Arabidopsis thaliana: one gene and its partner. The protein of the gene in region 1 interacts with the protein of each later gene in a pairwise test. Each region holds a gene or a part of one and is shown on either strand. Other genes may lie near its edges.

Region 1 (5,877 bases):
ACCTAAAAACATGAATGTTCCACAAACTCTACTAATGGCTAAACCATAACCAAACTCCCCCGTAACGGTAAAACTATTACCAAACTCTCTTACTAAGAACACAAAAACTCTGAAAATTTCTTAACTCAAGAATAATTCCAGTAACATAAAAAGAAAAAGAAAAACCAAAACCAATCCTACTAAAAACATAGAAAACCAACGACTTAAAGTTTTGGAAAAATAATACCCATGTGATTAAGAAACAATCACGTAACCTCCATCCCTTAACATGCCGACATCTTCGTCGTTTTCATTTCCACCGTCGGAGGCACCGTCTTCTCCTTCAGTGATCACCATCTTCATAATCTTTTCTTGATTACAAAATCTATAATGCGGAAGCTTTAATTATGATCCACAAAGATCGACTGCTCTGATACCATGTAGAATAAGGTATTGAACTGACTTGATTTTATTGATTCACAAACTATGGTATTTATATACAATGATCTCTATCAAGAGATAAACATAAATCCCTAAAATATAGGTTAGAAACTCTATCATCAAAGATATTGTACTAATCCTAATCGGATAACATATATCCCCAATAAGGCGCCTAAGTTCAGGTGCGACAAGGCTCCAACAATTTCTACTACGATGGCCAAACGCAGTTACCAAGGGGAGTCATCAGTCCCATTATATGAATACATAAATCTGAATGATAAAATTGCATACCTATGAATCTATGATAATTGGCAACGTCTTCTTCTTGTGGAACACGCAATGGTACCCTCCCCGAGTGTTAACACACATGCTACCTTCGCAACAATATTTGTGACGTCCATTATTGTTGAGTATTCTACACTCGTCCATATCTGTAGATGAAAAACCACATAATTATAATAAGCAAGCATTTTCCACAATACAAGAAAACAGAACGAGTCAGTTTCTCACTTTGCATCCACCTAAAAGATCTTATGGGTTACATTGTAACCACTGGAACATGCACAAACTGAATATCCAATCTCGTACTCATAATCCGTCAGGTTATATATGGCACTTGCAACGGTGATGTGAGCACCCGACAGATGAGAGATTCACAGTTTGAATTGACCATTGTAGGTGGACTATCGTACGTTTCATCGCATAAATCCATCGAGTATCACTAATTTTTGAGGAAGGGTATATGTCAAACTCGTCTGTTAAAATTGCCACTTTGCACCCTCGCCTATTGTTGTGTTTCTACTATCCCCTTGTATACTAAGAGACCAGTTACATGCCCGATCACATAAGGTTCTTTCTTTCTGCAGCATCTATAGCCATTGCAACCTTTTTTTATCCATTCTCGCTTCTGGTGCTGTAGTGCACAAATGGAGACGCAACCAACTATTCTTGGCTCATTTTTTCTCAAAAGGCTTTGATGTTGCAACCAACAACAATTACGCTGTTAGCGCACGAGACCAATGGTAAAAGGTGTGCCCGTCAAGTTCAATAGATCTCCAACCTCGGTTCCATCATACTTAACAAAATCATTGGATGGAGAGCCACATCCTATGGAAGTGAATCAGTGATGGTCATTTGGAAATGCTTAATTTTTCTTATTATGGTTACTTTAAAATATTTAAAAATTTAGAGCCTGTTATTGTAAAAATAAATAAAATTGGAATCTATTTTAATTATGTTTTTTGTTAATGGATTTTAGAAAAATATGGGAGCCAAAGATCAACGAATGCCTACAAAACCAATAATTTGACATGTTAACAAAAAATTGTAAAATCCAAAAAAAAAGGTAATTGAAGCTGATAACCCTCTTGTTCAGCGAGTGGGTTAAAGTGTGACCGAGATATACGAGCACGGCATCGTTTTACGTATCGTGATCTGTTGGATCTCAACTCGGTTTTCTTAATAATCAGAATCCGGTTAGAGATTGAATTTGGGTTTTGTTAGTTTTGCTTCTTCTCTCTGCAAAAATCCTCCATCCGCTTCCTCACGAAAAACCCTAGCACAGCTCCGAGATCCCTTTTGTCGCCATGGGAGACTCCGGCGATCCTTTCTTGCGTAATCCAAACGCCGCTGTTCAAGCTCGCGCTAAAGTTCAGAACAGAGCCAATGTTCTTCAGCTTAAGCTGGTTCGTCTCTTCTCTCTAAATTCGCTGAATTCGTGATTACTCTCTAGATTTTAGTTTCGTTGTCTATTAGGTTTCTAGCTAATGAATTGGAATACTCTTAAGTCGTTTGATACTTGCTTCGGTTCTATTTTCGATTGCGTTGTAACACTCATCAGCTAGTTCTAAATTGAATTGAGATTCCGATTTTAGGTCATATGATTTGATTATATTGGTCTTGATTCTTGAGCTTGTTTTATAGTTTTGAATCAGTTTGATTGATATCTTGTTGCTTTAAAGCTGATATAATGGATCTATCTGATATGCAGATGGGTCAGAGCCACCCTACTGGCTTAACAAACAATCTCTTGAAGCTTTTTGAGCCACGTCCGCCATTGGAGTACAAACCACCACCAGAGAAGAGAAAGTGCCCGCCTTATACAGGTATCAACTTGTATATCTGATTATGTTTTCTTTGCTTTGGATTTGATTTTGTCTTGTGTATTGAATATAGGTATGGCTCAGTTTGTAAGTAACTTTGCTGAGCCTGGGGATCCAGAATACGCTCCACCTAAGCCAGAAGTTGAATTACCTGTATGATGATGCACCTTTAACTCTTTCGATTATTGCCATATTTTAACCCTAAATCAGTGGCTTATAGCTTTGTTTTGTTTCATTGTCCAGTCGCAGAAAAGGGAAAGAATTCATAAATTGCGACTGGAGAAAGGTGTTGAAAAGGCTGCTGAGGACTTAAAGAAATGTAATCTACTATATGTTATTTGTGTTCCTTTTAATGCCCTCTTAGGTTTGAGAATTCTTAGTTAATTTGTTTTTTTTTTATATGCAGATGACCCCAATAATGATCCAAATGCTACTGGAGATCCATACAAGACATTGTTCGTTTCAAGACTTGTAAGCTGTGTTTCTTTTTTTCTTACTGTTGAATGACTTTTGTTAGACATCTGAGTTATGTTGTGCTTAACTTTGGTCTGTTCTTGTCTTGCAGAACTACGAATCCTCAGAGAGTAAGATTAAAAGGGAGTTTGAATCTTATGGACCAATTAAACGGGTAGGTTATTCTGAGCATTCCCTTGCTGGTTCGGTAAGAATTTGTGTAATGGCTTCCCTCTCTAGAGCTCTTTGCTCAATTTGTTTTATTTTATCTACAAAAGTCTTCCAAGGTTAGAATTTTTCAGTCCCTTATAAATTTGCATCTTTTCTGCTAGACCAAAAGGCCATTCTACATTTGCTTTGTTTTGCATGCCTTCTTTAGACTGTGTAAAGCCATCAAGTCTCTTAGACCTTTCTCAATAACTGAATATATAGATGCATAAGTGCTTCTCATATAATGACACAGCTCCTCTCTCCATGGTGTTTGTTTGAGATGTTTTCGGTAAATTTGGCCTGGTATTTTTATTTCCTTGTCCCTTCAGAGAGCAAATACTTTTACAATGATATATCATATAGTGGTTATAGGCACACGGTTTACCTAATCAATTAGTTGTTTTCTGAATCTATAATGAGCTCAACTCATCCTGCTGGTAAGCAACTTATAAAATATTATCTGCCCATATCCCAAAGCCATTCAAATGCTTTATTTTCAAGCAACCAAGGTTGGATTATCGAAAACCCTTCTCTCTTTTCCTATCTTAACATCTATATATATTCAGTATCTGGGACTTGGGCTACTATGAAGGTGATCTGGTTCACTTTTTAATACATTTTTAGTTATCTAAGTTTCTATACCCTGGTAAGGGGTGGTTTATTAGACTCTTCAAAAATGGTAATTTTGCTGCAATACATCCATTTTTCTGCCAATTCTTGATGTGGGTGGTGACATTCTCGGATTTGGACACAACATAAAGGTTGCCTGCCTTATAGAGCTGCATGTTTGTTTGATATGAAACACTTTTATCTTGAATCTGATTTTGTTCTCACAGATTTGATTTGTTAATTGTCTTCTTCTGAAACTTCTCAGGTTCATTTGGTGACTGATCAGCTGACCAATAAACCCAAAGGATATGCTTTCATTGAGTACATGCACACCCGTGACATGAAAGGTGCCCTCACATCTCTTTTCTTTCAACCCTCTTTTATCTCCCTGAGATGTTTGCTCTTTATACTGATGTTGCATTGTGTTTTGCTACTCTTCCTACAGCTGCATATAAGCAAGCTGATGGACAAAAGATTGACGGCAGAAGAGTTTTGGTTGATGTGGAGAGAGGTAGAACCGTCCCAAACTGGCGTCCACGCAGGCTTGGTGGTGGACTTGGGACCTCAAGAGTGGGTGGTGGTGAAGAAATTGTTGGGGAACAACAACCGCAAGGAAGAACCTCCCAGTCAGAGGAGCCATCGAGACCACGGGAAGAGCGGTAAAGATATTTTCATTCGTACCAAACTCTTTTGCCTTGTGACTAATATTGTGCTGATAATGTTGTTACCTTGTCTCCAGTGAGAAATCTCGGGAAAAGGGAAAAGAAAGGGAAAGGTCTCGTGAGCTGTCTCACGAACAACCTCGAGAGAGGTCTCGTGACAGACCGAGAGAGGATAAGCACCACAGAGACCGAGACCAAGGAGGCAGAGACAGGGATAGGGACAGCAGACGTGATCGTGACCGGACCCGTGACAGAGGAGACAGAGACCGCCGTGACCGTGACAGGGGACGGGATCGTACTTCAAGGGATCATGACCGAGACCGCAGTAGAAAGAAGGAGCGGGATTATGAAGGAGGTGAATATGAGCATGAGGGTGGTGGTCGGTCCCGTGAGAGAGATGCAGAGTACCGTGGCGAGCCAGAAGAAACTCGTGGCTACTATGAAGACGATCAAGGGGACACAGACCGGTACAGTCATCGCTACGATAAAATGGAGGAAGATGACTTCAGATATGAACGTGAGTACAAGCGGTCTAAGAGATCAGAATCGCGAGAGTATGTTCGTTGATGTTTCATTCGGCTGTTTAAAACTCTAAAAACTTAAGAATCCTTTTTGTTTATTCTAAATCAAAACTTGATGCAATTCTGTTTGTTACCTCTGAACTTGATTGCTATTTTTTCTCTTTTGAAGTTTGTCATATTATTAATCAAAATCAAACCAACTTTAAAGTTGTGATGTTTTATTGATTATTTCTTATGCAGTACTACTATACATGTGATGATTTATGTGCCTAGAAACGGTCAATTATTAAACTTATTGGTGAAAACATGATTGAAATGTTATTTTATTTAGCATATAATAGATTGATATGTTTAGAGAGAGGATATATTGATAGTCGTGAATTTTTGAGATAATTTGAGGAAAAAAAAGGCTCCATTGCCGGGAATCGAACCCGGGTCTCCTGGGTGAAAGCCAGATATCCTAACCGCTGGACGACAATGGAATTTGTTAATGGTTTTCATTATGACATTATTGTTGAATATTTTGGTTTCACATTTGCTAGAAAACATTACTAAAATCCAAGGTCAAACACTTCGTACGTTTGAGTATTTTATATACACATATCTGTATCTATTTTTAGAATTATTATTATATACAAATACAACACGACTCTTGTTACTTAGGTTGGGACACATGCTCAGGGGTCGTATTCGTGATGGAATTGTAAAATAGATTTGCAATTATTTCTAAATATAAAAAGCAAGCCATATGATTTCTTAGATCTTTACACTTTTGTTTGGTTAATGATCGTTCTGATTGACGTAGTTACTCAATGTTAGCGCTTTGAATGTTTCTCTTTTCTTTTGGGAGTGTCAATGCCATTTTCATACATCTAGAGACCGAATAATTTATGTATTAAC
Region 2 (4,343 bases), on another chromosome or scaffold:
AGGTACACCCACCATCTCCACTTGCTGTTTTGGATCCCGAATCAATTGTATCTGCCACAAAAGTTGTATACACAGAAAATTCACATTCCGAGGATAAATTAAGTGATTGCCAAGATGTAAACAATAAAGGATGACCAATGCACCTGATCCATGTCGTAAGACACACCCAATTCCTGGAAGCAAGAAATAACAGCTTTTGCTGTTCCGGATGCATCCAATTTGCTAGCTTGATGAGACTCCATCACCTACATATAGATTGGCAGTTGATTAGATGTAGCAAGAAGTAATATAAAACTAACAGAGAAAGAAAAAAGAATTTGAATGTATAAAAGAAGTAAGAAAAGTACATCCAAGGAATAACCAGAAAAGGCTCCCGGAAACTGCTCAGCCATGATCTCCATGGCCGCAAGAAATGCTACAACCTATAGACCAACAAAGCACACAAATATGAGCAAAAATGATCTTAACTTACATGCATAAGTAATCATTTCTTCCAGAAACATTCAAGTACACATACCTGTTTACCCATCTGTGGAGAAATCACAGCATAAATCTTTGCTTCCTCAACAGTTTCATACAATTTGTTCCTATCTCCACCAGTTGTTCCCATGACGAAAGGAACACCTACTTTGCTATACAGCTCCGCATTATCTACATTTTGCGAGAATACCAAACTTGAAATCAACAAACAATAGACAAAAAAAACACTTCTAGCAGATGATTTTCACTTGCACAAATTCTAAACTAACTCAATCAAGGATCGTTCCGCCAACCAGAATTCAACCATAACTTCAACAAATCTAGAATACAATTGTCTTTTGATGGTAGAAATGAGAGATTCTGAAGTTTACCATTTACTGCAGAGGGAATTGTGTAGTCGACAACAATTAGCTCCGGGTGCTTCTCAAACACCGAAGAAAGAACCTTTTCTCTTTCAGTTGGACCGTGCACAGTAATCTCCTTTCCACAGACCTCAACTCTCTGACCATCCTCACCAGCAGATCCAAACGATATGGGAACAATATTTACTCCTGCAGAGTCTGCTGCTTTAATTACAGCTTTCCCCATTTTGCCACTACATCCATTCACCTGTAGAATAAGAGATAATGAATATAGCTAAATCCAACATAAAAATCCCCATTTCAAAAGGAACAAGCTTTGACATTTCTACATTTCAAACTTAAATGGTAATGCAAAGTCAAATCTCACAACTTTGAGTCTAAGAGAAATCATCAGATGATCAGGTTTACCATGATGGATATGCCATTTCCAGGCAAAACAGATTTCACGGCCTCCTCACCGGAATCCGCCATCGCCGTCATGGATAAAACCACCGGAAGACGACGTGTCCCAATGCCCATGAAACTAACACGGCCTTTACCGTATTTTCCTACAGTCTGATTCGTTCTAGAAGCAAATGCGATACGCGGGCGATGAAGAAACACACTGGACGACGCCATTAACCTGTGATCAAATCGTTTAAATTCAATAGAATCCTCTTAAAGAGTTTAAAGCTCATCTCCGTCAATCAAAACGTGAAATTCGTAGGTTTCGAAACGTACCCATTCGTAGCCATAAAGGAATTTACTCTCCAGGATACGGAAGTTTTGTTCTTTGTTACGACGGAGTCAAAAGTTTAAATCTTTCACTTTTGTCTGAAAATTTCCGGCCGGTGAGAGTGATTGGGGATGTAGGGTTTAGCTTATCCCTTTTCATCAAACCGGAAATCTCTAACCAAACTAATAGATTCAATGAAACCGTAATTTTAATGAAAATAATAAACCGGAAGCCTTGAACCGATTTGATAAGCTAATGGACCTCACAGTCTCACTCTTAACCTGAAGAACGAAGAACCGTCTCTAAAACTCCGACGAACGAAAAATGAAGTCATTAGCTTCGCCGCCGTGTCTCCGCCTGATACCGACGGCACACCGTCAGCTCAATTCGCGTCAATCTTCCTCCGCCTGTTATATACACGGTGGCTCTTCTGTGAACAAATCCAATAATCTCTCATTCTCCTCATCCACATCCGGTAAGCTTGCTTTCTCTCACTTCTCTTATAATAACTCAAATCGTTTTTTCGCAATTTCGTGATTGAGATGTTAACATTTGGTGTTAGGATTTGCGTCACCACTAGCTGTAGAGAAGGAATTACGCTCTTCATTCGTACAGACGGCTGCTGTTCGCCATGTTACGGGGTCTCTTATCAGAGGCGAAGGTCTTAGATTCGCCATCGTGAGTTCTCAGAATCGCTTTCTTACTTTGTGCGCTGCTTAGATTTAGTGACTTGGTTCTGATTTACAGTGAAATTTGAAAACTTTGAGCTCAATTGCAGTGTTGACTTGGTTCTGATTCATTTTTCTTTCTCAAGGTGGTAGCTCGTTTCAATGAGGTTGTGACTAAGTTGCTTTTGGAAGGAGCGATTGAGACTTTCAAGAAGTATTCAGTCAGAGAAGAAGACATTGAAGTAAAAGTCTTTTGCTTGTAGAACAGAATAAAAAGTTATGAGCTTTCACAAAGCTAATGACACTGTTTTTATTCAGGTTATTTGGGTTCCTGGCAGCTTTGAAATTGGTGTTGTTGCACAAAATCTTGGGAAATCGGGAAAATTTCATGCTGTTTTATGTATCGGCGCTGTGGTATGATTCTTGTTTTGAAAGAATCTCAGGCTATTCCATTTGTTTTTCTCCTCATATGGCTTCAGAAAGTAGTTGCTTTATGTTGATAACATATACTTAAAGAGTTGGATTTTGATATTACTGTTGTCCTTGTTGTGGTTTAGATAAGAGGAGATACCACACATTATGATGCTGTTGCCAACTCTGCTGCGTCTGGAGTACTTTCTGCTAGCATAAATTCAGGTTTACCTCGATACTTATTTGCTGGATATACATCTTTAGACATTTTTATTTGACATTGTTTTGGAAACACTGAAAGATTGATTTTGTATACTTCCGAACCTAAAAGAGCGGGTAGTTCATTTTTGCTTTTCTTTGGATTTTGGATGTTTAAATTCCCTCATCATGAATTACTTCTTCAAATTTTGTGTTTACGCACTATTGACTCTAGTAATTAAAGCTTATAAAAAATCCAATTTGCAGGCGTTCCATGCATATTTGGTGTACTGACTTGCGAGGACATGGATCAGGTTTAAGTTGTGTTATGCAAGAGTTGATGATATATAGCTTATTCATCATAATGGATGAACACTGAATTTGTTAATATTGTGGTTAACTGAAACTCTAGGCTCTGAATCGATCTGGTGGCAAAGCCGGCAATAAGGGAGCTGAAACTGCTTTGACGGCGGTAAGTATCATTATGATTCAATCCTTTATTGTTAGAATAAGATGTAGAAATTCCTGATCATTCCATTGAGCAACTGGTCATGTTATAACCATTCGGGTTCTTATGTCTTTTTGGTAAAGTCTTTGAATATTTCTTCCTCTTGTTTTTCAGCTCGAAATGGCGTCGTTGTTTGAGCACCACCTGAAATAGCTCGGCTCGTTCGATGGATGAACATGATCACGTATGAGAACCTCTTGATGTTGTCCCATTTGGTTACAATCCAGTCTCTGAAATTGTTTGTACCTCAAAGATTGTCAAAATGTTTTACCCTTGGTTACAAAATCATTTAAACGCTTTTGTAAGCTTCTGGCCTTGTTTTTTTTTTTTGAATCGTATGATAATAATAATTCCTCCGAATTTTGGGGGTCTTTCTGTACTAATCAAAAATGTGATCTTCTTTGTTGTAATATCTTGAAATTGAGGTGTCGAAATGGATGTCAATTTTAAAAGCCAATAAGGATCTTACACGACGAAAATTTTGTCGGCGAGCGAAGATTACGCGTCACATTGATAATAGTTAATATAAAGTTCAACGGATCAACCAATTCCACAATCTATAATCATTTTGTGACTCTTGGAGCACTCTCTTCTCTTTGTCTCTGTGACTCACATTCATCCAATCCAGGTAAAAATCAAATCCACTAAGTTTTATTTCTCTTCATTGTTGTTCTTGCGTTGATCCTTCATGATTTGATCGGAATACATGGAAAAAGGTGGTGTAATTAGATCGAGCTTTTTGTTTCTCCGATCTGTTTGACATTTAGGTTGATCTAGTGCTATCATGTGTAGATCGAACATTCGGATCTGTATTTCCCACGAATCCTCTTGATTCACGTGATATGATCATTGTCTCTTAGTACAGAGATGCATTGTATGTTCTTTGGTTTGGGATATTCCACTAGGATCCTAGTTGATGATATCTAATGTGATGCGAGTTCTCTATGGTCTTTGGTGAGAAACTTTGTTTTGGTGATTATAGCCTCTTACAACTACTAAAA

Evidence for each region.
Region 2: the proteins of U1-70K (region 1) and COS1 interact in binary tests that used the Arabidopsis thaliana proteins (3 or more experiments, as listed by UniProt).

The regions. Positions count from the first base shown.
Region 1 is NC_003074.8:18,825,622-18,831,498, reverse strand, and holds U1-70K (U1 small nuclear ribonucleoprotein-70K), read left to right. Parts: upstream 1-1,814; 5' UTR 1,815-2,006; coding exon 2,007-2,105; intron 2,106-2,410; coding exon 2,411-2,525; intron 2,526-2,595; coding exon 2,596-2,675; intron 2,676-2,765; coding exon 2,766-2,841; intron 2,842-2,928; coding exon 2,929-2,993; intron 2,994-3,087; coding exon 3,088-3,150; coding exon of another isoform or gene 3,151-3,267; exon of another isoform or gene 3,268-4,059; coding exon 4,060-4,141; intron 4,142-4,239; coding exon 4,240-4,453; intron 4,454-4,533; coding exon 4,534-5,023; 3' UTR 5,024-5,339; downstream 5,340-5,877. UniProt on the Arabidopsis thaliana protein: Mediates the splicing of pre-mRNA by binding to the loop I region of U1-snRNA.
Region 2 is NC_003071.7:18,222,423-18,226,765, forward strand, and holds COS1 (6,7-dimethyl-8-ribityllumazine synthase / DMRL synthase / lumazine synthase / riboflavin synthase), read left to right. Parts: upstream 1-1,790; 5' UTR 1,791-1,881; coding exon 1,882-2,032; intron 2,033-2,119; coding exon 2,120-2,235; intron 2,236-2,371; coding exon 2,372-2,467; intron 2,468-2,543; coding exon 2,544-2,639; intron 2,640-2,782; coding exon 2,783-2,861; intron 2,862-3,101; coding exon 3,102-3,148; intron 3,149-3,246; coding exon 3,247-3,306; intron 3,307-3,456; coding exon 3,457-3,495; 3' UTR 3,496-3,811; downstream 3,812-4,343. Other genes in the region: AT2G44040 (Dihydrodipicolinate reductase, bacterial/plant), read right to left, coding at 1-51, 144-245, 348-422, 518-651, 852-1,089, 1,251-1,464, 1,563-1,576. UniProt on the Arabidopsis thaliana protein: Catalyzes the formation of 6,7-dimethyl-8-ribityllumazine by condensation of 5-amino-6-(D-ribitylamino)uracil with 3,4-dihydroxy-2-butanone 4-phosphate. This is the penultimate step in the biosynthesis of riboflavin.